Regions from separate parts of the Mus musculus genome. Here all the other regions are reported to be linked to region 3. Evidence: microRNA targets listed by miRTarBase, many of them from high-throughput screens and not tested one by one. Region 3 holds a microRNA gene; each other region holds the end of a gene's coding sequence.
The links. The annotated mature microRNA mmu-miR-381-3p reads UAUACAAGGGCAAGCUCUCUGU and lies in region 3 at 1,627-1,648, opposite strand. An mRNA with a match to its seed (bases 2 to 7 or 8) in the 3' UTR can be bound and repressed. Matches are read on the target gene's strand: a 7mer-m8 pairs with bases 2 to 8, a 7mer-A1 pairs with bases 2 to 7 and ends in A, and an 8mer does both.

Region 1: the mRNA of Zcchc10 is a reported target of mmu-miR-381-3p. Seed matches in the 3' UTR shown: 7mer-A1 at 1,091-1,097.
Region 2: miRTarBase lists Slc35a3 as a target of mmu-miR-381-3p. Seed matches in the 3' UTR shown: 7mer-A1 at 1,544-1,550.
Region 4: the mRNA of Crebrf is a reported target of mmu-miR-381-3p. Seed matches in the 3' UTR shown: 7mer-m8 at 2,036-2,042 and 7mer-A1 at 1,847-1,853.
Region 5: miRTarBase lists Pik3r1 as a target of mmu-miR-381-3p. Seed matches in the 3' UTR shown: 8mer at 3,459-3,466.
Region 6: miRTarBase lists Igsf3 as a target of mmu-miR-381-3p. Seed matches in the 3' UTR shown: 7mer-A1 at 249-255.
Region 7: the mRNA of Scoc is a reported target of mmu-miR-381-3p. Seed matches in the 3' UTR shown: 7mer-A1 at 2,191-2,197.

The regions. Positions count from the first base shown.
Region 1 is chr11:53,331,633-53,335,940 of GRCm38, forward strand. It overlaps Zcchc10 (zinc finger, CCHC domain containing 10), which reads left to right. Exons shown (of 4, transcript NM_026479.4): 4 at 670-1,669. The coding sequence ends at 961. Among named protein-coding and RNA genes, the nearest start is that of Zcchc10, 9.1 kb to the left of the region's middle.
Region 2 is chr3:116,670,431-116,674,738 of GRCm38, forward strand. Slc35a3 (solute carrier family 35 (UDP-N-acetylglucosamine (UDP-GlcNAc) transporter), member 3) reads right to left here. Exons shown (of 8, transcript NM_144902.4): 8 at 1-3,288. The coding sequence ends at 3,198. Among named protein-coding and RNA genes, the nearest start is that of Gm51275, 5.0 kb to the left of the region's middle.
Region 3 is chr12:109,724,210-109,728,517 of GRCm38, reverse strand. Mir381 (microRNA 381) reads right to left here and starts at 1,696; the gene lies at 1,622-1,696. It overlaps Mir487b (microRNA 487b), which reads right to left and starts at 1,185; the gene lies at 1,104-1,185. It overlaps Mir300 (microRNA 300), which reads right to left and starts at 4,205; the gene lies at 4,127-4,205. Mir539 (microRNA 539) reads right to left here and starts at 389; the gene lies at 316-389.
Region 4 is chr17:26,771,047-26,774,046 of GRCm38, reverse strand. Crebrf (CREB3 regulatory factor) reads right to left here. Exons shown (of 9, transcript NM_029870.2): 9 at 1-2,755. The coding sequence ends at 2,640. Among named protein-coding and RNA genes, the nearest start is that of Bnip1, 8.5 kb to the left of the region's middle.
Region 5 is chr13:101,681,072-101,685,176 of GRCm38, reverse strand. It overlaps Pik3r1 (phosphoinositide-3-kinase regulatory subunit 1), which reads left to right. Exons shown (of 16, transcript NM_001077495.2): 16 at 108-4,105. The coding sequence ends at 297. Among named protein-coding and RNA genes, the nearest start is that of Pik3r1, 85 kb to the left of the region's middle.
Region 6 is chr3:101,458,974-101,463,281 of GRCm38, reverse strand. Igsf3 (immunoglobulin superfamily, member 3) reads right to left here. Exons shown (of 11, transcript NM_207205.2): 11 at 222-3,495. The coding sequence ends at 3,245. Among named protein-coding and RNA genes, the nearest start is that of Gm40109, 47 kb to the left of the region's middle.
Region 7 is chr8:83,432,779-83,437,086 of GRCm38, reverse strand. It overlaps Scoc (short coiled-coil protein), which reads left to right. Exons shown (of 4, transcript NM_019708.4): 4 at 1,047-2,595. The coding sequence ends at 1,189. Among named protein-coding and RNA genes, the nearest start is that of Scoc, 7.7 kb to the left of the region's middle.

The DNA of each region.
Region 1 (4,308 bases), not on the chromosome of region 3:
TGTATGTGTGTATAGGGATGCCTCTAGATGACAGAAGTGGACATTGGATCCCTTGGAGCTGAAATTACTGGTATTTTTGAGCTGCCAGATATGGGTGCTGGGATCCGAATTCCTTGACAGGCCTCTGACAGACAGAACAGTAAGGCCCCTAAATGCTGAGCCTTCCCTTTCTTTAGCTCTTGTTTTATTTTCTGGAGACTAGATCTCACTTTGTAGCCCAGGCAGGTCTCAAACTCACGGTGATCCTCATACTTCAGCTTCTTAAGTGCTAGGGTTACAGCCACAGAGTGTGTGTGTGTGTGTGTGTGTGTGTGTGTGTGTGTGTGTGTGTGACAGACAGACAGACAGACAGACTAGCCTTGACCTTTCTGTGTTGCTGAGGGTGATCTTGACCTTCTGACCTTCATGCCTCTATCTCCTAGGATCATGCCTCTATCTCCTAGGATCCCGGGCTTGTGCCAGCATGCTCAGTATGACGTAGTATGGGAGGTACACCTTATGAGCTTATGAGAGTTGCTGAAATGACAGAGCTTGTAAAGGGTTTCAGAGTTAGGCAATCCCCAAACATCAGACCTAGGGCTGGCTGGCTGTAGAGGCTCAGCCTGAGCATCTCTGAGCTCCGAATTAAAATGTCAGTTTCCCATGTGTGCACTTTGTGTGACTTCATAGGTCTAAGAGTGTCACGAGTTCCAGTACCTCTAGCAGTGACAGTTCGGCCAGTGAGTCTTCATCAGAGAGTGAGACATCCGCCTCATCCTCTTCAGAAGACAGTGACTCAGATGAAAGCCTCTCTAGCTCCTCCTCCTCCTCCTCTTCCTCGGCCTGTTCGTCTTCCTCTTCCTCCTCTTCCTCCTCCTCCTCCTCGGACTCGGACTCCAGCTCGTCCAGCAGCAGCAGCAGCAGCAGTTCTGAGAGCAGCTCTGATGATGAGCCACAGAAGAAGAAAAAGAAGAAGAAATAGAGCTCTGTACACCGGGACGGTGGACCCAAAGCACCTGTGACTCCCAGGGGAACTGAAAACCTGCTCAAGCAAGCAAGCCAGACGGCCAGAAGTGTTAAATAAAATCCAGAACTTTCCAAGTATTTACTATTGTATAGAATATTTAAAAAAAAAAGATGTTACATATATAAAGATGTTTATTTTAGGAATGAATATGGGTTTTTGCTGTTGCTTTTCTTTTTGTAAAGACTGGGTCTCATTTTGTAGGTCTAGCTGGCCTTGAATTTGATATGTAGAGGAGACTGGCCTTGATTTCAGAGAGATCTTCTAATGTTGGGACTAAAGATATGTGCCACCATGCTCAGCTTTTGTTTTTAACTTTTTTTTTTAAATATTTGAAGTCTATCTGTAGTACATAATCAAAATTGAAAACCAGGAAATCTATTTCATTGACAGGCAAAAGTCATTTTTTTCCTGCCTTTGAAATGAATGCTTTATGTGGGTATATGTTACAGTGTGTATGGGACAGTCTTTGACTGTACTGTATCAGAATATCAAGAAGTTTCTTGTTCTCTTTTGCCTGTGTTTATTATGTGAGATTTAATGCATTGTTATTATAAATGGTTTTCCTACTGTTAATAAATGTGCTCTATTTTTATGTTTGTATCAGAAAATTCTGATTTTTCTATTCTGAATCTATAAAATCAAAGAACCCCATACAGAACATTGGAATGATGTAAGTTTCAAGTTTTTTCTTTGTTGTTGTTTTTTTTCTTTATTCTTTAAGATTTATTTGTGTGTGTGTGTGTGTGTGTGTGTGTGTGTGTGTGTGTGTGTGTGTACACGTGCCTACGTGAGTTCATGTGCCACATTTCTGTGATAGCATGTAGAGACCAGAGAGGGCATAGGCCCCCCTGTAGTAACTGGAGCTGTAGGTAGGTAGGTAGAAACTGCCACGTGGGTGCTGGGAAGCAACCTGGGTCTTAGGCAAGAGCGGCAAGTGCTCATAACTGCCGAGGCTTCTCTCCAGCCCCACGCTCTGGGGCTTTATCCTTCCTTTCCTCCTGGTTTCTTGTTCTTCTCTTATGTGTATTTTTCCAGTTACCAGTTACTTTTTTTTAGACATCAGTTCTCAGTCAGGATATGAAGATTTAGCCTTGGTTGAATTCTTCATGAACAGAACTGAGCATTTGGTTATTCAAGAGTGCAGAGTCCTCTATCCTGGCCCTACTGGGACCCGCACGTCACTAATGTGAGAGCTTCTGCTAACCTGGGGAACACAGAAGCTGGGGAACACATGGGTGCCAGCGCCAAGTCCACCGAGCTGTGCTCTATCCTCTTGTTGGGCATAATTTCAGTGCCCCACTGCATACCTTTGAGGTTGGGATGCCTCCCAGTTTAACATCCATGAGTTTCTTTGGAGTCTTGGCTGAAGAACCACACATCTCAGGGAGGCTCTTGGGAAGTTCTTGATGCAGGGTTTCGTGTTTCATAACCTGGGCTGGCATCAAATCCCCTATGTAGCTGGGGATGACCTTGAACTCTTCTTACTACCTTTACCTTCCACCTGCCACAGCTCTTGGCATTCTTATTTTTATGTATGCATGCACTCGTGTGGTGTGTGTGTGTGTGGTGTGTGTGTGTGTCTCTCCTTGCCCATGGAGGTCAAACAAGGATGTGGGAACTACAGCTGGAGTTACAGGAAGTTGTGAGCCATGAATGTGGATGCTTGGAACTGAACTCCAATCCTCTGCAAATGAGGTGTCTCCAGCCACTGGTTACATTATACTTAAAAGATAGCTATTTATTTATTTATTTATTTATTATTTTTGGTGGTTTTTTTTTTTTTTTTTTTTTTGAGACAGGGTTTCTCTAGCTGTCCTGGAACTCACTTTGTAGACCAGGCTGGCCTCAAACTCAGAAATCCGACTGCCTCTGCCTCCCAAGTGCTGGGATTACAGGCGTGCGCCACCATGCCCAGCTAAAAGATAGCTTTTTAAGGGCAAGAGCAATGGCTCAGTCAAGTAAAATGCTTGCTGCACAAGGCTGAAGATCTGAGTTTGGTCCCCAGCACCAGAAGAGCAAGGTATGGTCACCTTGTCTAGCACCAGGAGGGACTGAGGTAGACCAATCCCTGGTGCTCATTATTGGCCAGCCAACCTAGTCAGTCAGTGAGCTCCAGACTCTGAGACACTGCCCTAAACGAGGTGGAGAGCAGAGCAATTGTCAGAATGTGACATTGACACCAGGCCCACACACACGTGAAGATGTACATTACAAATATGCATCCATAAACATCAAGTCTTATATATTTTTTTTCCAGTGTTAGGATTAGAACCTGAGGCCTGTTGAATGCTAGCAAGCCTTTTACCACTAAGCCACATCCCCAGGCTTGCCTCTTAATAGTTCCTGTATGACACTTTATATGGGTAACTGATCCTATATGACTTTATAAATATAAATAACCAGGGAGAAGATGACGCTCTAGCAAGGATCGGGAAATACTGTACAATATTTTTAAAAGTAAACTATAATGTACAGTAATGTCAAGTTTAACCCCATTATTCTGTGGCCTTAAGCTTTTTAGAAAAGAGGTATCCTTTATTCAACAATCTTGATTTGGGGACAGAAGATGTAGCTCAGTGGGCGTAGTGATTGCCTAACATGCAGGAAGGTTTGGGTTCGATTCTTAGCAGTAATATACCAGGCTTGGTGGTGTATGCTTGTTTTTGTTTTGTTTTTTTGAGACAGGATCTCTCTATAGACCAGGCTGACCTCCATCTCCTAGAGATCCTTCTACCTCTGCCTCCTGAGTGCTAGATTACAGATGTGCACCATCTCACCCTTCTGCTACAAGGCTGGGATATTCCAGCACTCTGGAGATGGAGGCAAGAAGACCAAGAATTCACAATATATCATCAAATTAGATGTATACAGAATATGACAAAATAGTGAGAGTTTTGGTTTCTTTTAAATCTCAGTTATGAATGTTTTTGTTTAAATATCCTAAAAGGATGCTTTCAGTTTGTCCACAGCCATTAACTATGATTGTCTCCTACTCTGGGGGCTGAGGGTGGGGGGTGACTTACCAGCTGCAGATAGTCTGGGGACTCTGGAGAAGACCTGAGTGGGCCTGTGGCAGCCGCTTTTCCCCTGGGTGCTGCTCCAACTGCTGGTTCCTGCCCTGCTTCCCCTGTCCCCACTGCTGCCCCTCTTTTGCTCCCTCCCCACCCCCCACTGCTGCTCCCATCCCCTCCCCACCCCCACTGCTGCTCCCATCCCCTCCCCACCCCCACTGCTGCTCCCATCCCCACCCCGACTCCCCTGCTGCTGGTTCCTTGTGTTTTCCATTGCTGGTTTACTAGCCT
Region 2 (4,308 bases), not on the chromosome of region 3:
TAAAAATATATAGTAATAAAATATTCTACAATGAATGTTTAAATAGAATGAGTGACACTAAAGCCTTTCTTTAAAAACTAAGTAAAACAAAACAAAACTCAAATGGGGGTGGTGGCCTACACCTTTAATCCCAGCACTCTGAAGGCAGAGGCAGGCGGATCTCCGTGATTTCCAGGCCAGCCTGGTCTACACAGTAAACCCCAGGCAGCCAGGGTGGCACAGTTAAGATGCTGCCTCAAAAAGACAAGGAAACAAAAACACTTCATTGAATGACAGTATAATGACATTTTTAAAGTCTAGTAACCGGATTTGTAAGAACAGTATTCTATTTTATGGTTCAGAGCAGGATGTCGACTAATTTCTTTTTGGAATTTCTTAATATAGACTGTGGTTTAAATATCAAGCTGCCTTTTTCTCATATGAACTTCTGTGTCATTCCATAGAAACTGATGTAAACATGTCAGTTCTGAACCTCCAACCTCTATGCTCTACTGCACAGGTAACTTACAACCTGAAAAGCGTCCAGTAAGGAGCTGCTGTTGCTGCACTAAGGGCCTGCCCGGGACATGAAGCTTTCTCCCAGTGTGCTGTACCTAACCTTACTACAGCTCTCAGCTGGCAGGCTTCTTCTCCATGAACTCACACGTGCCTTTAGTGAAAGTAGCTGAGAAATAACAAGTACACCTTTAAAAGCATAACTTTTAAATAATCGAAGAGTTATGGAAGCATGACACAATAACACCTTTGAATGTCATCAAAACACAAACCACATTACACAAAATTTCAGCATCAATATATATGACACAATCTAGGTTACAAGCCCATTTCCCCCACATATTATTATTTCCTTATAAATTTTTAGACTATACATTCAGCCCAATTACTTTTTAACTGACTAGAAAGGAAAAATATAAATGATGCATAAAAGATTTTCAGACACCTAAAATGTATTATAACTTGAACAACCTTACTATCCAACTGCTTCTTTGTCTATATTTCTGTAGGGTTAAGACAGGGTAGACCATATCTAAATAACCAATCATTTTGAATCCACACTGTATTAACACACTTGCCCACACAATGCTTTAATATGAGCAGACCATGAATCTGTCCTCTTGAACTTTGTGCATTTGCAGGATCTGGGTTGTACTTGGTTATAGGTCCTAGGACATATGCTTGAATGCTGTGGTGGCCTCACACCATGCTCAAAATAGTCAAGCTCTAAAAGGCAGTCACTGAAAACCATAAACCAGGCATTCAGAAAGCCTGCTATCACTTTATCCTCATCGGTGCAATGATGTTAAATATTCTATCATTTTAAGTACTTTGAAACTCTGAATGGAATTGGTTAGTCATGTCCACTGTTGAAAGTACATTTGCTCTGATAAGATCAAATAGCCAATCCAAGGTTGCCAAGGGAACCTTACAGTTCTTAACAACAGTGCTTTTGAGTCAAATTCCATTTAACAAAATCTATTAGAACTACATAAAAAATAATTACCTTTTTACAGGTTTGTATCTATTTGAACAAAGTTTTAAAATATATACAATATAAATGAAAGAATAAAATAGATCTTCAATAGGTAATTCTGCATATGGACAATAATTAAATAACTTATATTCCAAATATAGAACGTATTTTTGCCTCCCGGTTTACTTTACTATTTCTAATATATTCTCTCTCCTTTGAATTTATTATTAAATAACTCATAATTTGTATCCTCAACTCCAGTGTTAAAAAGAAAGAAAATCTACTATTCTAAAGCAAATGGTTGCTCCTTCCCAGAAGGACTCACAGGAACACCAGAGAGGAAACCCTGAAGGCAGTCACATCTGCCAGACACATGATCAGGTGGGGAGAGTGGGCTTTAAGACATAAAAACTTCTAAATAGCCTTAGAACTTAAAATATAATGCAACTCCCTTAAAACAATGTAGTGAGGTGGGCAGAGTGGCCCACACCTTTAATCCCATCACTCACCAGGCAGAGGCTGCCAGATAGATATTTGTGAGTTCAAGGCCAGTTGGGTCTACATAATGAAAATCTGCCTTAAGAAAAACAAAAAAACAAGTTACAATATGCTTTAAGAAAAAGAAAAAAGAAAGTAGCATATGGCAGTAGGGAATGTCTGTAAGGAAATCAGTTTAATCATGGTCCACTGAGAGAACTAACACTCTTTTGATTGTTGTTTCTGTCAAAGATTAAAAGAAATTGCTACTGCAGATTAACAAGAAAATTCTCCATTTCAAAACTACATTCAATATATGCTTCATAGTTTAGATTTCTCAAAATGGAGCCTAGACAGTAATCATTATTTTATTTTCAATTATTAAATGAGTACTTAATCCCTTTAAATTCACTTAAAATTTTTAATGGCAGGACACACAAATTCAATTTAATGTAATGATGAGAATAATGAGAAAAGAGACAGACCTGGGAAATGATGAGTAAGCTCCACTAGGGCCAGTCTCTGCCACTCTAGCACGGGAAGAACCAAACTGCATTCAGCTGCCTCAAAGCAGTAAATGGTCAGACACACATACACACACACACAGACAGAGAGAGACAGAGAGAGACAGAGAGAGAGATTGATTCTACACTAAATTTAAATATGATTCAAACCCAGATCACTTAATCAAATCGTATGGAATTAAACAAGTAAAACTTGTCAATCCTTTCCTTAGGAATCCTCTGTATAGATATAAAACCCTGGATACATGAAAATGGTTTTAAATTATATTTGTTTGTTCACAGCTTGATAGGCAATTATAAATTTCCATTTAAATAGATCATGTAGCTTGATACATCTGTACAGAAAGGGTAAGGTTAAGAACATGGGATAAGTGTAGGCAGATCTACCTTGCAAACCTTGCTCTTTCTTTGCATGTGTGTGCTCTTGCAAAGGCTGCACTGGACAGTGCTACAGCAACTAAAAGGCTGAAGTCACTAGGAGCTCAGACGTAAGGCCTCCTCCCAGTATCCCCTCTAAGCCTACTTCCTGGACACTCTTCCAAGCTTGGGTTGCAGATGACGGACACACTTCATCCTGAAGGCTACACGTTTTCAAACCATTTGAACAGAACGATCAGATTTAGCCTGATGATTTCTTCATAGAATCTGCAGAAGTCCTCTGTGCAAGATTAATGTTGAGGTTCCTAGGGCACCACTGTGAGAATCCAGTTAAGGACAGGACATGACTATGCTTTAGTGGGATTTCCTGCAGGTTTGGGATCGTAACCGTACAAGAAAGTAGCTGCTATTACAAGGATGGCTCCAAGGAAAAAGACACTAAATAGGATGAAGAAAAAGAAAAGGAGAAAGTCAGATTCAAAGCAAATTAAATTCTTTACTATACTGTATCTGTACTATAAAGACAAGTGTAATTTGGGAAAGAAATATTCCAGAAACATAGTAATAAATGTTGAGTACTTCCTATGATCCAGGTGCTGAGCTAAATACTTCACATGTAAATGTCATTTTGTTCTTGAATGACTTGAAGCAGTACAAGGATTAGCTGCATTTTGTACCTTCAGGAAAGGCTTTACAGGACTTTAAAAACTTGCCCCACAGGCCCAAATAGGTCGGAGGTAAGATGCAGTGTAGACTCTGGCTTTGAGCCTACACTCCATGGTGCAGGACCTCACCGACATGCACACTCTGTATGGGATTCATTCCATAAAAGGTCCAAAATGTTAAAAACAAAATGTTAAAGGAAAAGTTCATTACTGTATGCTAAACTTAGGTAATTTAGTTTAAAAGCCAAAGCAATAATAAAACTCAGTACCAATGTTTACAGGATGGTTAAGAGAAGGAGATATCACATGCTTTCCTCTTGATTCTATGTATGTAGATATACAATATACTTCATAGAAACTGGACACAAACCTAACTACCAATTATAACTTGCTATATACAGTTTTAATGCAGCTAGAATCATAGATTAGTTTCTACTAATGCTTCAAAGTCATTACCTTCAACTTAAAAACAAACAAACAAACAAATCTAAAAAGACAGGGATCACTGGTCTTTACCTTCCTGTGACCTGAGGCTTTTGCTTTGCTTTATTTATTCCACAGTTTTACTATGTAGCCCAAGCTGGCCTCCAACCTATACAGCTCCCCCTGGACTTCATGAATAAGGCATGTGCCAGTGTGCTCCAGCCGACATTACCCTCCACACCCCTTCCCCAGTCTATAAATTCAGCCGTTTGACTTCATGGACCTTTTCCTGACGCTGGCATCATAGTAGATCCTAGTCCCTCAACCACAATTCCCTTTCTATCAATAAGTGTTTATTGATAATGATTCA
Region 3 (4,308 bases):
GAACCAGTCACACTCTTGAGCAAGGGGCCGGGGCCTGACCCCAGTGACTATCTGTGAGATTGGCTGCCCATCCAAAAAAAAAAAGAACGATTTGCCAAGTCATGAAAACTGTGCTATCTCACCATGACCAAGCCACGTAGGAACCCCTGGACTCTTCAAGCAAGATCCTGACTTGGGATCAGAGTGTAGCTCTTACACATCAGTTCTGTGCTCTCTTGCCTTGTGCCCAGGTAAGGCTAACCCATGCATCATGCACCAGGCACCTCTTTAAACAACCGTCTCGTCATCCCGGAAGTCCACCAGGGCAGTATTTGATACTCAAAAAGAAATTATCCTTGTATGATTCATCCAAAAGAGCCAACACACCAAGGATAATTTCTCCTCAAGTATGAAACAGTAGCACAGCAGGAATACCAGCATCCATAGGCCTCTTGGGAGTGATCACCACTCCTCACACGTGGCTGCACCCAATACATACATGCACCATGCATGCAGTACTACTGATGGCCATTCTAAGCACCAGGGAGGTGAGAGGCTATAGAAATGACTCCCCAGGACTCAGCATGACAACCTCACGTTAGCCTCTTCTAAGGGTAATGGTGGCTGGGGTCAAGAAGCCAGGCAGTGTCCATCTTAAGTGGAGCAAGCATTGTGGGTGGCCCTGCTGACCCCCGGCATGGGGTCTTCTGTTCTAGAAGCTGCTACAGAAATGATGTCACTGCCGAGTCACAAGCACCACCTTGTAAGTCCAGCACAAACTCTAAGCTCCAACACCCACTCACATGACTGACAGAGAATGTCTGTCTCAACATGGGCTCCCAAATCCAAGGAGAGGTTTGTATATCACCATCATAGCTGCCAGCAGTCAGCTCCCAGCAGACAAAAGTTTGGGCTGGCACATGGTCAATAATGAGCCTAGTCCCTACAAGAGCCTGATCTCTCCCAGCCCCCGAGAGCCATATGCATTGGACCCCAAGAGGACTCGCGAGTGACACACGAGACAAGGAGCATAACACGGCGACACCCTTGTCCAAGGATGTGTGATGGGAAGTGGCAGTGGCAGGATCCAGGCGCAGGAAGCCAGGCTGCAGAGTCTGCGCACTTGATACTGAAAAAGTGGATGACCCTGTACGATTCGGCATGAGTGAAGCGAAGAGGACAGGGATAACCACTCTCCAAGTACCAAAGCTCGGCCTGGAAAGCAAAGCCACCGCCTCAGGTAGACGTGCTACGTCTTCCAGGTAGGGTCCTGGGGACGAATTAGACGCTGAGCGTTAGCAGACTGGGTCACACACACCAAGCAAGAACATGCACACTTGGGTACCACGGCACGGCAGCACATCAAAAAACAACGGCCCACACCAGCACAGACCTGACCATCAGCCTGGGAAAGCAGGGACCCAGGCTACACACAGAGAGCATGCTTTGGGACCAACCCATATGGACAAGGAGAGGGGATGTACCCGAGGTCTTTCCTGAAGTCATCTTGCGCCCATGAAGCCGTTGGTGCATAAAGGAAACCCAGGAAGCAGTTTGTCACACACAAGATGGATACACACGGTCATGCACACACATACCACATCCCTCGCTGAGTGTGGACGGGATCCAAGATAAGGTTTGATACTCACAGAGAGCTTGCCCTTGTATATTCCATGTCAATAAACCGAATATACAAAGGGCAACCTCGCTTTAAGTACCAAACAATAGCATGGGGCAGGTTCCGCTCTAGCATTCACGGGGTCAGCCTCGTCTCCTGGGACTTAGCCTGGGGAGGGATGATGGGAGATTCGGAATCAGCCAATTACATGGCAAACACCACCTGCCAGATGTGTGCCCACTGGTCAGCTCTCCATCCAAGGAGCTTGGGCTGGGACAGATACTTGGGGGGTGGGGGGGACCTTTTTCTGATATTACTGGCAGATGTTACAACAGATTGAGATTTTCACTCTCTCAGGAAATACAGAACTCAGATTTTTGCTTTCTGTAGGTAAACCCTGGTTAGGACTACAATCTTATCCTTAGCACTTTCTCTATGATGCCCACCTGGCTGTACACTGCACACAGAGGACAGGAGGACCCCAGGAATTTATAGAAGTGATTAAAGCCAATCCTTTCTGCCTTCCCAGTAACGGGTATCAGTGTCACTCCCAGGACCGGACCCTGCCCCACTAATTCTGCCCGATAGTGGAATGGGACAGAACTAGAAGGAAGTTGATGCCATACAGGGGTCAAACTCCACATGCCACTGAATGATGGAACCATCTTTCCTTTTTGGGACCTCTTCCCCAGAAAAGAGCAGGCAGGAATGGCCACAGGTTTGCACTGAATCATGGCAAGGAAAAACACTCACCTTTTTTTGACGGGATGGGTTGCTTCCATAGGTGCGGGCTGTTAAAACTGCCCCCTTCTGATCTAGGTATAGCCACAGAAGAACACCAGATAGACCGCACGGAATGGGAAACTTCAGCCTCTTCCCAAAGACAGACACCACTTCCAGGAAGTCCTCACTTGGAGAGGGGTGGACCAGGCCTGAAATCATTATAAATAAAGATGTATAAACCAGTACTTGTATCAAAGCTGGGATAGTCTAACATCATGCTTTATCTTCTAAGGTGAATGCTGTGAGCAACAAGGCTCTGGAGATGGCTTGGTACAAACAGACGGCAGGTCTGAGGGCCACTGTCTTTTAACAAGCAAGCCACTGTTGGGTGATTATGTTCAATGCAAGTGCAACAGGCACCACAGTACCCTCTCCCACCCTCAAGAGCAAAAGATCAGGCACCAAGAGGACAAGGAGGACCAGAGACTAATAGCTTAGCCAAAGGTCCCATCTTAGAACCAAGAATTGGTACATACCCGAGAAAGTCAGAAGTCACGTTGTATCAGGAGACCTGACCCAAAGATGGAACAGGGCTGGAGTAGTTCCCAGATAGAGTTAGATGTGAGGACAAGTGCCTCTTGCAGTCTATTACCATCAATAAAGAGAACATACCGGAGGCTATCCTCTTTACATGAACCAAGAGTTGGGCCAGGGAACAGTGAAGCACCTGTGAGCCTGGGCTGAGCACAGGGGCTGGTGAAGCAAGCCTCAGCTGGCTGGCTCTGGAATTGGCTGCATACTCTGCACACTGGTACCCAGCCCTAAAGTTAGTTTACTTCTCAGTATCACTCCAAAACAGGGTGATCTTCCAAAAGACTAGGGTGGGGCATGGGAGGATGGGCATGGGGTGGGGTGGGGGTGGGGATTCTGTGTAACTTAACAAAAAAGTGACAGAGAATGATTGGCATTCCAGAGCCTGCAAAGCCACCCTGGCAAGAAAGCCTCCACCTGTGCCCACAGCTGCAGCCTCCAGGAAGTCCTCCAGATGGTCATCGAAAGAGCAGGATTAGTACGCACAGCAACATGCATCATTCAAGAAAGAAGAAAAACCGGAAAACTAGCTCTCTGAAAGCCCCCACCCTCTTCCCCAAACTGGAGCAGTATGGAGACCTCTGGACCTTCCTTCTGCCCTTCTTGGGGAGTTCAGAGGACTATGGGAGACTTATCACTATAAACATCAGACCCATGCAAGGCTCACCGGAGGGAGGTGAGATGCCCCACCTCCACCCGACCCCCAGAACCAAGGTTCTTTAGACAACCTTAACATAAATTCATGCTGTGACACACAAGGTGAAGAGGACACCTGGAGAAGGAGGCTTAATGGTCTTGGTAGCCTCTGGGAGCATCTTTACTTTGGATATCCACCAACCCCCTTTCCCTTAAGTGGATGGGAAGCCTTAAAGGTGATTGTAAGGACAGGTTGGCAATGGTGGGCAGAAAACCCACATCTAAATGGGCACTGGCTTGCTGCTGACACTCTTTTGGCCTTAGAAGACGACCTGGCATGCACACCACACTGCGAAGGGCTGTCAGAAGGGGAGGCACAGTTTCCTAGGCTCTACCAAGAACAGCCCTTAGGATCAGCATTTTTTTCTAGAAAGTTCTCAGAAGCATGTGTGAGATCTGTAGGGTCAGACGAAGAAGGAGCTCAAGCTCGGTGGCCCACCATGCATTTACTTACCCTGGAGAGACCACACCCTTCTGCTAGGCCCAGGCCGCCGCCAGCCATGCTTCCAGGCAGCATTTGCTCCTCGAAGAGAGCTTGCCCTTGCATATTCATTTCGCGTAAAGCAAACACACAAAGGATAACCTCTCTTCAAGTAGCAAACGATAAGGAGCGCTGGGGAGAGCTGGTCCGGTGCGATGACAGATGCGATGACGGTCCGGATGTGAGCCTGAGGGGGCACATTTGGAGGTTACACTTCCAG
Region 4 (3,000 bases), not on the chromosome of region 3:
TGGTTAAAATGTAAAGCTGCACAGCTTGCCTATGTCATCTTAAACAGCAAGAGGATTTAACTTGCACTCTACATTTTACTGCCAGGTTTTTATTTAGATCAAGTATCGCTGCAGCGTTCTGACCAGCCCAAGTTTAGCAGCAAATGGCAGGAATCATATAAAATGCAATTTTATAACAAAGTGCTTTCCTAAGATATACATACATATATAAATAGGTACAAAATAAAGAGTCAACATTAAAAAGCTCAACTATTTAAAGGCTTTCAACTATTTAACTTAAGGAGTACATATAAAACACTGAAATGCACGGGTATGGAATCTACTAAACAGATTCAAAGTGTTTTGAAATGCAAGACCAAAAATCAAATTCTGGTTTGCAGACAAGAAAAAGGTATCAAAAAACCAGAATTCCTAAAACAGGGTAGCTAGAAAGGGGCAATTTTATAAACTTCGCCAACTGACTCGCGATCATGAAGTGACAGTCATTTGACTGAAAACCGCCAGGTTCTGGAACACTTTCGAGACTTCAGACACTTCCATTTGTGAACCTATGGTTTGCCTTTTCCCACATAGAAAGTAAAACTTTAATTCTGTTAACCATGACACGTGAGCTTATTATCTGTTAGGGTGGATGAACTAAAGGTACATTTCCACCAAACACACAGGAACCTTGTCACAGTTTCAGCTAACGTGTCAAGACAAGTCTTGGTTTCTTATGATTCATGATGTCAAAGAGGCAAGTCAGACACATTTTTGGATTGTAACTGTGTTTTCTAATTGAAACTTCATGTGCTATAGCTTACAAAAGGGGAGAAAGAAAAAGGAAAGAAACTCCTGTGCAGACAGACCAAGGACAGCTATCTTAGTTCTATCAAAAGGTGGTGGAGAAACAGCAACTATGTCTGACATCTCAGGCTTTTCTTCTAGATATGTTTGTTTTTACTTTTGAAGCCACCAGTTTTCATAGTTCCAAACACAAGATCTGAGATAAAACAGTCAAGAAAGACGGGATGGAAGGACCTGTGGGGCATAGGAATCTCTCATCAAGAGGCAAAGCTTGAGCACAGCTACAACTGACCACTAAAGCAAAGAAGAGCACCTAAAACTAAGCGTGGTCATGTTTCTCAAGTCTAGAAACTACACAAGATAAGTCACATGTAAGTTTGAAGAAAATACCTGTACAAAAATATAAAAATTTATAAATTTGTTTTAAGCTTGTGTTGATCTTTGAAAATATTACATGCACAATAACATCAATTGGAAAAGTGGCAACTAAAGTATTAGATATTTTTAGCTTTTTTATCTCTTTACATATATATATACATAATACGATAAAAATAATCTGTATTTTGGTTGTTTGGTGGAAGTATACTACAATAAGCTAAATAAACTTTAATTTTCAAAGTCAAAAACTATTTTATCAATAGCTTACTAATATGAAATATATTAAAATTTCCTACAATAACTGCAGAAATAAAAGACACCTAAGTGGCCACCAACTTATCTACTATGGAAGCAAACTAGAGGACAGCAAAATAATATTTGGATGTATGGATGCTCCTTCTGTAGATAATTGGACCCAAACAGAAATAAAGTTCACAGTTGAGTAAGATCCCTAACCCTGACCTTTTAATTTTTTCTCTGTTTCATACATTCATACAGTATCATGTAAGCTGTGCAAAACTTTACTTAGACTGGCAGTCTGCCATACCAGTTGCATTTGTCTTTGGTAGAAAAAATAAAACAATCGCAATAATGTGCAAGTATTTTCTTCCGGTCAAGTACCGAAATAGGAGTTCTCTAGAGCCATCTTTTTTTGTTTGTTTTTGTTTTTTGTTTTTTTTTTTATACAATACACAGACTCTGTGGCATATATCTACATTTTGACATAGTCCTATATACATTCAAAAAAATCTGAAAAAGAGTTGGAACAAAAAGACATTTAAACCCCATAATTTTCTCATCTATATATCTTGGTTTTCCTCATTAGGATTTTCATCATACAAAATATTACCAGTTTTAGAGTTTCCCCAAAATACAAGGCACAAAGAGTATGCTTTTTCTTACTTGCACAGACAATTCTATATATATATATGTATGTATATATATATATATATATATATGTATTTTTATATATCATATTGAGTTCTGAAAAACATCTAAACATGGTACACACGTGAGTGCTGGGTGCGCCATGTACATGTGAGATTAATGGCTGTAAAAAATTAGAACAAAAAGCAGTCATTCTAAAAACAATCTAAATGGACTTTGAAAAAAAATGCTTCCTCGGTATTTTTGTGTGGTTCAGAGCATAAACCCACCTTAACACTCAGCATTATACTAATATATTCACTCACCCAAAACACTCTGCTTCAACAAATGTTTACAATCTGTACCTCATATTTACTTAATGTGTGAGCTTCTTTCTCATGCCAGCAGCAGGGTCACTGGTTTATGCTCTGAAAATGCAATAATCAAGTATTTTGGATCATGCTTCACTTATGCTATTGTTTTTAAAACAATGTAACCTAATTATAAATGTTTACATAATGCTAATTGACATGCAAAACAGAATGAAAATTTACAATGGATAACATGACAAAAACAGACATTTCTGACCAGTGGTCCAATGAGGCTGATTACACTTTTGATGCTGGTATCCTTAGTCCTACAAGGCCTCCAGTGGGGTTGCCTTCAGCAGTCTTCCCTAACACTTGGTTAACAAATTCTGAGGTTTGCCCAGCGACTGGGAGACCTGAAGAGAATAAAAGGCACACTTTAAGACACAAACATGGAGAAGGCATAAAGGAAAGGGAAAAAGTCTGAAAGCTGATATTGACCCCAAAACAAGGGCTCCACTACTTGCTACTGCAGCCCAGAAAACCATCCTATGGCAGACTTCATTCACAAGGAGACCCACCCAAGAGTCATGAGGCACTCTAACGTGGTAGATGACAAATAACAATTCCTAAAGAAACCTGAGGTCCACTGGCAGGCTGT
Region 5 (4,105 bases), not on the chromosome of region 3:
CCACTGTGCCCCTCCACGAGGTCGGCTTTGTTTAAAAATACCCTGCAGCATTCCAGATCATCTGAGAACCACTGAAAAAGACTTTTTTGTTCCCTTCCCCTTTCCAGGGTAGACGGCGAAGTCAAGCATTGCGTCATTAACAAGACTGCCACCGGCTATGGCTTTGCCGAGCCCTACAACCTGTACAGCTCCCTGAAGGAGCTGGTGCTACATTATCAACACACCTCCCTCGTGCAGCACAATGACTCCCTCAATGTCACACTAGCATACCCAGTATATGCACAACAGAGGCGATGAAGCGCTGCCCTCGGATCCAGTTCCTCACCTTCAAGCCACCCAAGGCCTCTGAGAAGCAAAGGGCTCCTCTCCAGCCCGACCTGTGAACTGAGCTGCAGAAATGAAGCCGGCTGTCTGCACATGGGACTAGAGCTTTCTTGGACAAAAAGAAGTCGGGGAAGACACGCAGCCTCGGACTGTTGGATGACCAGACGTTTCTAACCTTATCCTCTTTCTTTCTTTCTTTCTTTCTTTCTTTCTTTCTTTCTTTCTTTCTTTCTTTCTTTCTTTCTTTCTTTCTTTCTAATTTAAAGCCACAACACACAACCAACACACAGAGAGAAAGAAATGCAAAAATCTCTCCGTGCAGGGACAAAGAGGCCTTTAACCATGGTGCTTGTTAACGCTTTCTGAAGCTTTACCAGCTACAAGTTGGGACTTTGGAGACCAGAAGGTAGACAGGGCCGAAGAGCCTGCGCCTGGGGCCGCTTGGTCCAGCCTGGTGTAGCCTGGGTGTCGCTGGGTGTGGTGAACCCAGACACATCACACTGTGGATTATTTCCTTTTTAAAAGAGCGAATGATATGTATCAGAGAGCCGCGTCTGCTCACGCAGGACACTTTGAGAGAACATTGATGCAGTCTGTTCGGAGGAAAAATGAAACACCAGAAAACGTTTTTGTTTAAACTTATCAAGTCAGCAACCAACAACCCACCAACAGAAAAAAGAGTGTGGAGAAGGAGACTTACAGTGACATTCAGTATATAAAATATGTACATAATATTGGGTGACTAACTATCAAATAGATGGATTTGTATCAATACCAAATAGCTTCTGTTTTGTTTTGCTGAAGGCTATAAACGTGCAGCGCTATGCAATTCTTAATTTTTATTATGTTGTTACCCGTTTCAAATACACCTTTGGAATAAGCTTCCCTTACCCCAGTTTTTGTTGCTTGAAAATATTGTCCCTGATTTTTGTTAATATTTGTTTTTGTCATTTTTACTTTTTTTTTTTAAAGAAGTGTACAGGATGCCAGAAAGGAGAATGGCTTAAGAATTAAAACTATGAAATATTTTACAGTTTTTCTTGTACAGAATACTTGGCTGTTAGCCCAAGGTTAAAAAGTTCATAACAGATTTTTTTTTTTTTGGACTAAATGTTGGGCAGGGCCCTGATAAGCTTCAAAGCTGCTTTATTCAATAAAAAGAGAAAAAGAAAATGATATATGATATGACAAAGTATTGCTGAGTCCAACAGTGTTAAGACTCTTGAAATACGGTACCTGGCAATGTTTGTTTCCTAATGAATTGTGAACTTCTTGAATCTGGAGGGAGGGGGAGGCAGTCATGGGTTGTAACAGGCGGGGTAAGGGGAGGGGGGGAAGTAAGGTGGTGTGCACTTTCTAGGGATCCCAGAGAAGGGAGGAGCCAGGCTGTTTGTCTCCTGTCTTTCCCCATCTGAGTTTGGTAGTCATTAGCAATTAACAGCAACTCCAGACCTAATGTTGTAACTCCATCCCAGCACAGTTGGCCAGCATCTCCGTTGTCATGAAGTGCTGAGTTTGTTCTGGGGTTCCTGGAATGTGCCCTCTTTCGTTGTTGTAACACACTGGTCTCAAGGTTGAATCCCTGCATTTAGAAAATGTGTTCTTTTCTCTTTGTAGCATTGGACTAGTCACAGCAGTCAGCCAGTCACCATTCATTTTGGCTAAATCATGGTCTGAAAAAACAGCATCTAGTTGGATGCTTGATATTTTTCCAGCTCTCTGTTCAGAGTTCAGTTTAGAATGGAAGGCAAGTAGACCCAAGTGGGTGGTCACTGTGCTTTGTGGAGATTGTTAAGTGCAAACATTTAACAGTTCGGACAGGTCTTCTCATTAGCGTGATTGTGCATGTTGCATACATCACGGTGTGCAAAGGGAGCAGTTGGTGACATCTTTAATTCAGGACAAAAGTTCGAGTTTCCCACCCTAGTGTATATGTGTCAAAGCTGGTGAGTTCATGGGGAATTGCCATGTGCTGTGATGGGTAGAGGTTGATGGTAGTCCCTGTCGCAGCCCAGGTAGATTCATGAGCCATCATCAGTTTCTCTTTCTCAATATCAGACACACCTGCAGCTTTATAGCTCTTCCCTTATTTGGGGGGGGGAAGGGGTCTTGTAATGTTGCTCTTGTTTTGATCTTGGAATTTGCAGTCCAGTGTCTGGGTTAATGGTCTGTAGAATGTGTTTTTCTTCCTATGAAGCCACTGCTCATTTTCAAGAGCAAAAGTCAGTCAACCAGACTGTCAGCCCACAAACTTGACCCGACCACCTCCTGACTGCCAGGAAATTGATTCCCCGGGTTGACTCTGGGCTTTGCAACCTCCAGCGGTAGCATTCCGCCACACCACATACAACTGAAGAGTTAATACTTATTTGTAAGCTAGGTTTGTGGTTGGCTTCTGCTCTCTTCTTCCTTTCTCTCTTTCCTTTTTCTTTTTGTAGCACATCATGTATGCTATCAGATACAAATAACTTTAATTTTTAAAAAGGATCTGAGATTGCTTCGTGACAAGTTCTGTTAAGTGGTTTTTTTTTGTTTTGTTTTGTTTTGTTTTGTTTTGTTTTGTTTTTTTCCTTCAACACTCTCTGCAAGATAACTTGCAACTTAGGCAGTTGCCTGAATTTCTCATCTCACTGACGTGAGTACAATAGAGCTTTCATGTGTCAGAAGGCAGGAGTCATTGAGTTATAGCACACCTGTCCTACTGAATGCCCTTTTGGTGACAGGTTAGCATGCTCACCAACTCTGTCCTTGGAGAGGTTTGACCATTAAGGTTCTGTGGATTCCATCCAAGCCATCTTCTAGTAACACCGAGTGGCTCATGAATGCAGATAGATACAGCATAGCTGGGATGTGAGCATGCCCACTCAGGTTTTCTCACCAACTGTCCCATTCTAGAGACAGCCAGACACTAAGCTAGACTATAGAAGTGGGAGGGTTGGGACCTTGTGTTCCACACCAGAGTGATCATAGCCATGGGATAAGGCAGCAAGCATATTTTGCAACATTTGACAACTTCACAGCCCTGGATATATGTATATATGTATAATGTGCATGGACTGTTTCCAATACACCTTTCAGCCACGCAGATCCACAGTCAAGTTCAAGTACATAACAAGCAGATGTCCAGTACAGGTCTTGTATATGTGTGTGTGTGTGTGTGTGTATGTGTGTGTGTGTTCCTGTATTTCTTTGCTATTGCTTTGTTTTGTCTTATAAAGTACAATTTGTCCACAAGTGAAGTGAGAAGTCCGTCATTTGATACTTTCCTCTTTTTAGAAGCTCTTCCCTTTCAGGGAGCAGCCTGGATGATTTGCTTACCTGATGGATCCCTGTTCTCAGTGTTGTCAAGTCAGAGTGTGTTTCTGTGAGCTGTCATTGTGGGGAACCAATCGCTTTGTCGTATATCTGATTATGAACTATAACTTGTTTGGGAAGTCCTACTGATGTTCTTTATTGGGAGAAAGTTCTTGCAGGTTTTCTCAACTGTGCTTTCGCAATGCATGGTATCCAAGTCAGTTGGAAAGTGGGTTTTGTTGTCTGTTCGAATTTAGGGTCATTTAAGAAAGGGGCAGTTAAGAAGCACAATGCCTCCCATGGGACAACATTCCAAAATGCCAAATTCTTCTCTTTCTTACAACAATCTATAATTATATAAAATAACTAGTACTGGGGGTAGGGAGAGGGTAGAATTGGCTCCATTGGAAAGACTCTCCTGCTTCATACCGAGCTTGTCGCCATGAGATAGCATTGGCTGCCCAGGATGCTGCTATTTAAGAAGAAA
Region 6 (4,308 bases), not on the chromosome of region 3:
TGGGTCTCGGCAGCAGAGGCCCTGTGAGCTGGAAGGCTATTCTCACTGGTGTCTTCTTACCCCAAATTTCCCACCAAAGGAAAACTAGTCACATAACCCATAGCAAAGCCAGCTTCCCAGTCTGCCTAGCAGGCCCGGGGGGCACCTGTGTCACAGCTCCAGGGCTGCACTCTTAACTGGTAGGTGTAGAGTTGTGATACATTTCAGCATGTGGCAAAAGTGTCTTGAGAAAGTTTTTTTTTATCATTTATACAAAAAAACATAATTTAGGTTGGGTGAGGGCATGCATAGAAAAGCTACAGCGTGTAAAACTTGAATCTGGTACATCAGTGCCAAGAGCAAAACTCCAGGCCACCCACTGAGCACAGTCCCACAGCAGGAGGTGGCTGCTTCAGTGAGGGGTAGGAGGCCATCAGACTCCAGAAAATGTAAACAGCGTATTGTCAACATAATTTACTACAGGTCTCTGCAGTGTATATAAAACGTCTTTGTGCAGTGGCTTACAAATAGCTTCTCCTTTAAAAAAAAAAAAAGAAACAAACCAACAGTTCTCTACTTCATGCACGGATAGTCTTCTTACCCCATCTCTGTCTTCAACATGAACGCAGAGACACCATTGTTGGAAACAAATATGAAGACTTGCTACAGAAACACACCGATGAGAGAGGGTGTGGTCATATAGTGTCCTGGGACAGGCCTAGCACAGTGGAGATGCTCATAAATGTGACACTGGAGAGGACAGATGTCAGGAGTCTCTCTTGAGTACTCTGATCTCGGAGGACAAAAGCCTCAACAGACAATATGCAGTGAAGCCTTCTAGCCACTTGAGGGCGCCATCACCATTTATCCGACAACACATGTCCATAGACCCAGCCACAGAGAGGTCCTGAGGGTTTTGGATTTTTCTTTTTCTTTTCTGTTTTTTTGTTTTTGTTTTGTTTTGTTTTGTTTTCATAGAAAGCTCAGAGTTTAAACTTTGATTGCATACCCCAGCCCTGCAGAAAATACACGCAAAAAACGGTTGTTAAAATACTGACATAGATTTCTTTGCTCCTTGCAAACGTCCTGCGGTTGCTTTGCATATTTACTTGAGTCTTCTGCTGCTACAGAGCTGATCTGAAATCTTAATCCAGGCCAGCCCTCTGGCGTCAATCTTCCCTCATTGACTCAGCCTAAAACTCAGGAGTCAGCAACTACCCACCAAGAGCCCACACCCATGAATCGAAGGAACAGAACAAAAGACATTCTTTCTTCGTGACTGAGCCAATTTGGTCCCTCTGATGTGTTCGTGCAGCAAAAATGAGAATCAGCAGGGCAGGCACAGGAGGATTAAGGTGGCGCTGCCTGGACACTTCTCAGAGAACAAGAGGGCCAGGAAGGATTGTCAGGCTGCATCTTGCCTCCTGCCCTCTCTGCTCAGCACACGGCCCACACCTAGCAGACTCCTCGGAAGGATCCATAACAGCCTGGCCCAATGACCTGGAAGTCCTGCAGCCTTTGTGTTGTCTGTTTATTCTCAGGACAAGGCTTTGCAGAAATCACTCCTTAAATTTACTTCCACAATCCTGGGTACCTTTTGCCAAGGGGCTCTCTCTTGGGACTCAGGATGCAAATTCCCCAGAGAAGATGTGGCCACTGAAGGATGGGGAAGAGAGGGGTCACGAGACCCTCAGAGTGACAAAAGGGAGGATTTACAATTGATGAGGCTCCAGGGCAGCTAAGCATCTGGCTTAACAGAGTGGAGGCAGTGGAGTTCAGATTTGGGGGCTGAAAATTAAAAGCCACCAGTACAACCAAACAACATAAACATACACGCGCGCACGCACACACACACACACACACACTCTAACAAAGGAAAGTGACAGCTCCTGTTCTGAGTTGTCTGCTGAAAGCAGGGGGACAACAAGAATGGCAAAGGGCTGTGCCTGGTCCTATCCGAGGACAATATCTCCATGGCACTGAGATTCGGGAAGAGCTGCGATGGATAAGGATGCCCTCACCGTCTCCGAGGAAAGGCTCACTGGAAGGAAGACAGAGGGAAGCACTCCTCCAACCTCTCAACCAGGCTCTAAGACGCCCTCCCACGCTCCACTCTGCTAAGCTCAGTGTAGCAGCTCAGCACACTCCACTGGGCCTGTGCACAGGGGCCACTTTGGCCATAATGCTCCCTCCACTCAGGGCAGCCCCTTCAGGCTTCACTAGACATGTCCCCTTGAAAATTTGGCAAAGCACCTACAGAAGAAAGCTACCTGCCCAGGGGTAAGTCAAGAGACCAAGCTTGCCAAAGCCAAGCCAACAACCACCCGTCCCCCCCTCATCCCCAGTCATTGCCTTTGATCAGGGCAACCCTCAGAAACTGGGTGCCGCCTGGAGCCCTTGACCCTTCCTTCAGGTTGGCTCGTTTATTATTATTTTTTTTTTTTTCTTTTTTGGCAATGATGGGACTGAGCCTTTTTGCCTCCCTGACGGACTGGTTGGCTGGCCACCATCTGCTCCTAATAGGGTCCTGCAGGGTTTCTTCTGCACATGTGCAGTCAGTCCTTTGAAGCGAAATTCAATGCTTTCATCTTGACTATAAAGTGGTTCCAACAACTCCGGCTGAAGGAAGAGATAAGATACAAATTGGGCCCACGCTACACATATTTTTCAAGTCTTGCTAAGAAAGTAAAAAAAAAAAAAAAAAAAAAAAGAAAAAAAAAGAAAAAATGTTTGGGTATATTTTGATCCACGGGTGGCATTTTCAAATGTGCAAAAACAAAAATGTCTTGGAAGAGAATCCTTGTTACTATGAAGGCGTCTTCCTCTTGCTTATCAGTTGTGAGAGAAACTCTTCCACAACATTATGGGATCCAAAAGGAGAGGACCCAAGGGGCTTAAAAGAGTACATTACACAGCACAGGAAACCCCATAGCACCGATCTGAGAACATGAGTTAGATTGGCGAGTAGATGCGGCACCTGGAGCTACGCACTAAGTTACCAAAACCAAAAACTAGGAACCTAGGATGTTGGCATCATGACACCTGGGTGTGATCAGCTAACCAGGGCTGCCGCCCAGAGGCAACCATCACCTCGACCGGAAGCTTCCAACAAGTTCCAGGTCTGACTGGCTCCTGCAGAGAAACTGCAGAGTTCAGGTGCTGTCGCCTGTCCAATCACAGAGCACGAAGCAATGAGGAAAAGCCCAGAGGGCTCCCCTGACCCGACCCTGCCATGGGCAACGTCTGCTGGGAGTGGGCAGCCTCTTTAGTCAATGGCTCCCGGGTGGATGCTGAGCACCGGAGGCTCCAGGCAAGTCGGGGAGTAGTTCAGGTGAGGCTCCTTGATCCACAACAGGGGCACCCCGTTCTTCCCCTCTGAGTTCTTGCTGGAGTTCCGGCTTTTGAAGCGCACCAGCAGAATGGTGATGATGAGGATGCCAAAGATGGGGAAAGGGTAGAAGAAGACAAAGTAGAAGAGGGCATCGTTGGAGCAGATGAGCGACTGCAGGGTTGAACCTGGAAGGCAGCAAGGAACCATGAGGATGAAGCCTGGACTCTGTGCGCCTGCTCCCTGCTCCTGAGAGCTCTCCTGACCTGATGAAACTACCCCAGACACCCTCCTAGTCCTCCCCTGCCACCTGTGACTGGGAGACTTCTGCCTTGCTCTTTTTCTCATGGCACCCCAACCAATCATCTGACTCCTAAGTTCAGATGATGCAGTGCCCCCATTCCCACTGAGACCCATAACTTAGTCTGCTGGGAAAGCCATACACTGAAGTTGAGCTTATTGATTGTGAACGTGGAGGTGTCTATGGTGGTGAAGAAGCTCACTCCCATTCCTTCTTACCCTCCTACACGGTAAGAGGGTAGCTGACATGTCCTTCTATGCCTACTTCTACTTAGACTTCCATCTCAGGGAATCTAGCACACTCCTTTCCTGCCTGCTTCAGGGATTGGCTGTCCTAGAAAAGGCACTTGCTGAACATTATCAACTCCCACTCTGTTGTGGACCACTGACAGTGTCTAGTGTCTATGGCTCCGAAGGGTGGACTTACAGCTGGGTATAGAAGAGAATCAAACCTGGAGCCCTGACAGCAGCTCAGCACTGCTTGCTCATGTTAGCCTTGGCCTCTAGTGATCCCTGTGTTGGTGAAGCTTAGTTACCCTAAGCATCTCAGCATGGGTCCACAGGTCAAGTGTGGCCTCAACACTCTCCTTCTCATTTCCGACACTGAATGCACATTCCATTCAGGTTTTCGCCATCCTTCTTCCCATTGTACTGGGGTACACCATCACAATGGCAGAAAGGCAGCACACAGTTTACTCTTA
Region 7 (4,308 bases), not on the chromosome of region 3:
ATTTTTTAACTTCCTTCCATAAAATTAATATTACCACTTACCTGGTTTTTGATGTTTAATGACATTAAGTATTGGGGTGGTTTTGTTTGTTTGTGGCACAAAGTGAGCAGTAGCCTTTCACTTGGCAGTAGCAGTCATACATCCCACTTCAGGTTATTTGGGAACACAGGGTGTTGCTGTTCTGAGTCTCTGTAATCACTTTAAATGCTGCTCTAAATCTCTTCCTTTAGTTACTATCTGTGTGGCCCGTTTCCTGAGTTCCTTCAGAACTCTGGTCAAATTACCTGCAGCAAAAGAGTTAACTCTAAAAAGTGCTTTCTAATCTGCTTTTATGACCCTTAGCCATTTTTGCTTTTTCTTTAGAAAAGTTGTGACTCTTGATACCTGGGCCCCATGTTACTGAGTCACAGGTGCCCACATACAACCATGTTTTTCTCTGTTGCTTCTAGAATGGTGTCTGCTTCTGTTGGTCAATATACATTTGTTAAATATGTGAATGGACATAATTTTTTATTTGTCCATTAGAATCTATATCTCTTGAATTTTTAACTAATATAAAACTATAAAAAGATCAGCTGCTTGGATCTTTTATCCAACTTAGGAATCCAGTTGTGTTAAGCTCTGCATCTTAAACATTTCCAGTAAAGACATGACCATTATGTGTGGGAGGACAGGCATACTTTAGAAATGCAATGTTTTCTTAACCACCTCAAGAGTTAAAAGAAATGCTCTCTACAGACTCCCGAGTCCCATGGCAAACACTGTTAACAATCACCGTCTTCTGATTTGTACTCAGTACAAGGTTTTTTTTTAACCTAAGCCTTTCCCCCAATAACCTGAATTAAAAAAAAAAAAAAAAACAGAAAACTTACAAATTGTGATATTTATTTGTTGTTAGTGCTACGAATCAGATTCAGGGTATCACACATGCTAGGCAAGGGCTGTAGCACTGAGTCACCCCACAGCCTGGTCTGCATTTGTAACATGGAGTCATTGCCATGATTTTTATTGGTAATTGTATTTTTATTTATTTATTTTGAATACAGATCTTTCTGCAAGAGTAGATGCAGTTAAGGAAGAAAATCTGAAGCTAAAGTCGGAAAATCAAGTTCTCGGACAATATATAGAAAACCTCATGTCTGCTTCTAGTGTTTTTCAAACAACTGATACAAAAAGCAAAAGGAAGTAAAGGGCTCACCTCCCTCTCTTCTATGGATTGCTGCTTTTTTTCTTCCCCCTTAAGGCTTGGATATGATCCAAAAGTTAGAGTATCTTTGTTCTTCCCTGAGTATTTATAAAGAGAATGTCACATCTAGGTAACACTAATGCTGAACAGGAGCATCTCTGAGTTAACGCTATATGTATACGTTAGTCTATGAAAATGTGCACATGTAGAGACTTTATATTAGAATTACAGATATTTATGAAACTTGAAGATGAATGTTTTGCCAATTTGCTTATATATATATAGGTTTAGCACTGTCTTTTATCATAAGCCTAACTAGTAAAATATACAAAAAAATAACCATGTTGTGAAAAGTGACCAAAACCATGTACTGAATGCACAGCTTCTGTACCTTGTGCACCGTCTTGTGCCTCTCCCATCTCCCTCCCTGACGGTAACTTCAGCAGTTTCTCCTACAAGAGTAACCTAAACTAGAATTGTTGACACTTAACCAAAATAAGACACTTTCTTATCTAAGGCTTGCCGTTTGTGATATTTAGTAATAAGATAGGATTGCTGGTTTCTCTTTAATCAATCGAAAGTAGATTGAAGCTATAGAAAATGAAGAGTTTTCTTTGAAATGTAAACTGCCACACTGAGAAGCTAAAAACTCCCTATTGCATAAAATAGTTCATTTGGTGTTGAAAAGATAGGAATGCTGGTCATATGTGTGTGAGAAATTAAAAAACAACAAACAAACAAAAAACTTGAGAAAAGATAGGAATAAGAAGGAAAACTGGATTAACAGAAATAACCAGCTCGCAGTGTTTTCCCTCTAAATGTGTATTACCTCTGGCCCACAGCTGCACTTTGGGGACATATATGAAAGTGGACTGAGTCTAATGTAAGTGGATTAAGAGAGACTAGTTAAGAGTTTGGTCTCAAAGTTTATTTGTACCCAGGAAATGAACTTTTGCAAAATTAATTGAGAGTATATTAATATCAGAATCATGAATATAAGAGTTTTGTATATGTGATAATTATTAACCTCGGTATTTTATCTCAGTTGTTTTCCCAGAATTTCTGTAAACTCAACTACTTAGTTTGCAGAATTTTAGTCATTCTTTTAACAAATTTTAAAAATTTAGTTTGTAGCTTCCATTTGATAAGGAGCTGATATCAGAAATAATAGTGAAGTCTTATAATAGGAAAGATCCACTAATGCAGCTGGTGGCTCTTAGGCTGGGCTGCTTTGACTTGTGGAATTATCTAATGTATTAATGTAAGCCTTGATGAGTGACGTTAGCTATATGGATGTGTAATCCTCACATTGCAGACATTTTGCAACCCTTTTGTGACCTTGTTACAGATATTTAAAATTGTGTTCAAGTTCTGCTTTGCTGTTTAATAAAAAGCTGTTTCAGAGGTTTTGTGTGTGTGTGTGTTTTGATACACTTGCTAAGTACATGTGCATTGGGTATCCAGGGTTTGCAGTATCACATTGTAATAGTGTATCTTATTTAAGCACCCAAGACTGCTACAGGGCAGTCTTTAGTAGCACAGTGTTGCAGAAGCTTACCCTTTATTGAAGTTCTAGGGAAGGGGGCTGGCTTAGGGTTAGGCTCCTTCCCCTCACTTGTTCCCAGGCTAGAGGGCTCTGCTGCATAGATTGTTCTGTCATGGCTTCTGCATCATCAGTTACACTATTCATTCTATTTACAGGAAAGAGTTTGTGAGTGCCCAGAATCTAGGTATGAAGAGTTCTGTCTTGAAATGGTCCAGGCCTCTTTACATCCAAAGCCTCGGATTGGCTGAGCAGTGTGATTTCTTCCATGTGGGAGGAAGTGAAGGACTTGTCCTAGCAGTCCTAGCCACAGCTTGATCTCTTGCTACAAAGTCTCTGGAACTATGTTTCCTCACAGAGAAAGCATTCCAGCACCCCACCTCCGTGCCCCAATCCAGCTAAGGATTGAGCTTAAAATCCAAGATCTCCCTTGAGGTCCCTCAGTTTATCTGTTCTCACTTTTTCCCTGGTCTAGAGTATTATGGGACAGGATAGCCAAGTAGAAAGCTCTCAGTGTGCGATGTGGAGTAGAGACACTTAGATCTGAGGCAGTGGTGGAATGGAACTTGGACACAAGTCCCTGGATATAGACCCTGACTCTGACCAAGGCTTTCCTTTCTCACTAGCTTTTGTGGCTTTCCCCTTCAAAGTTATTCCATACCCACCCCACCTCCACCCCTAAGGTTGAGAAAACCGTCCAGTTGTTGGCAAGAGCTTGGTGCCCCTTATTTTAAGTCAAGCTCAAGGGTTTTGTTTTGTTTTGTTTTGGCTAGTATAGCGTTCTCAAACAAAAAAACTGAAGCCTTTTACCTAGTTTACATCTCTTCCATCTGTTTGCTATATGCACTGAGGTTAGAGGACAGCCTACAAGAGTCTGTCCTATTTCCCACCATGTGAGTTCTGGGGACCAAGCTCATGTAGTTGGACTGTACCCTAGCTTGAGCCATCTTGCTTTGAAACCTTTTATCTTTGTACTCTCAGTCTGTGTGTCAGGGACAGTCAAACTTTCTTCTAGCCCTGACTCAAGCTTTTTTTCTCTAGGACTTGACTCTGTAACAGAGGCAACTACCTTAGGGCCCACTGAAATGCAGGTGGGAGAGCTGGCCCTGGGGTCTGCAGAGCTGGAGAGCTAGCCCTGCCCCTCACCAGTTGCAACACTTTGGTAGAGTGGGCTCTGCGCCTCACCTGGGCAGCATAATAAAGCTGTTCCTGCTGGAGTGGTTGTGGGTGAGCTGACCCCCAGGGGCATGAGAGCAGAAGAGCTGGCTCTGCCCCTTGCTGATTGGCATTGGGTAAGCCAGGGCAATGCTGGAGAACTTGCCTGGTAGTTTGGGTGCTGGAGAGCTGGAGGTCTGACCAGCTCAGCTACAACCCAGGCCCAAATCTAGAGCTTTAAGTTGGCCCACCCCAACATCCACATCATCTCTGGGCTTCTGGAGCTCTTTAAAGGACTGGTCCTGCAGACCCAAAGCTGTGGGATCTCAGTGACACAGGTAAAAAAGCAGATCTGAGAGGAGTCCTAGGATCCAGTATTGATAGTCCTGGCCTCAAACCAGACCAAGGACTCATTGCAATGAGC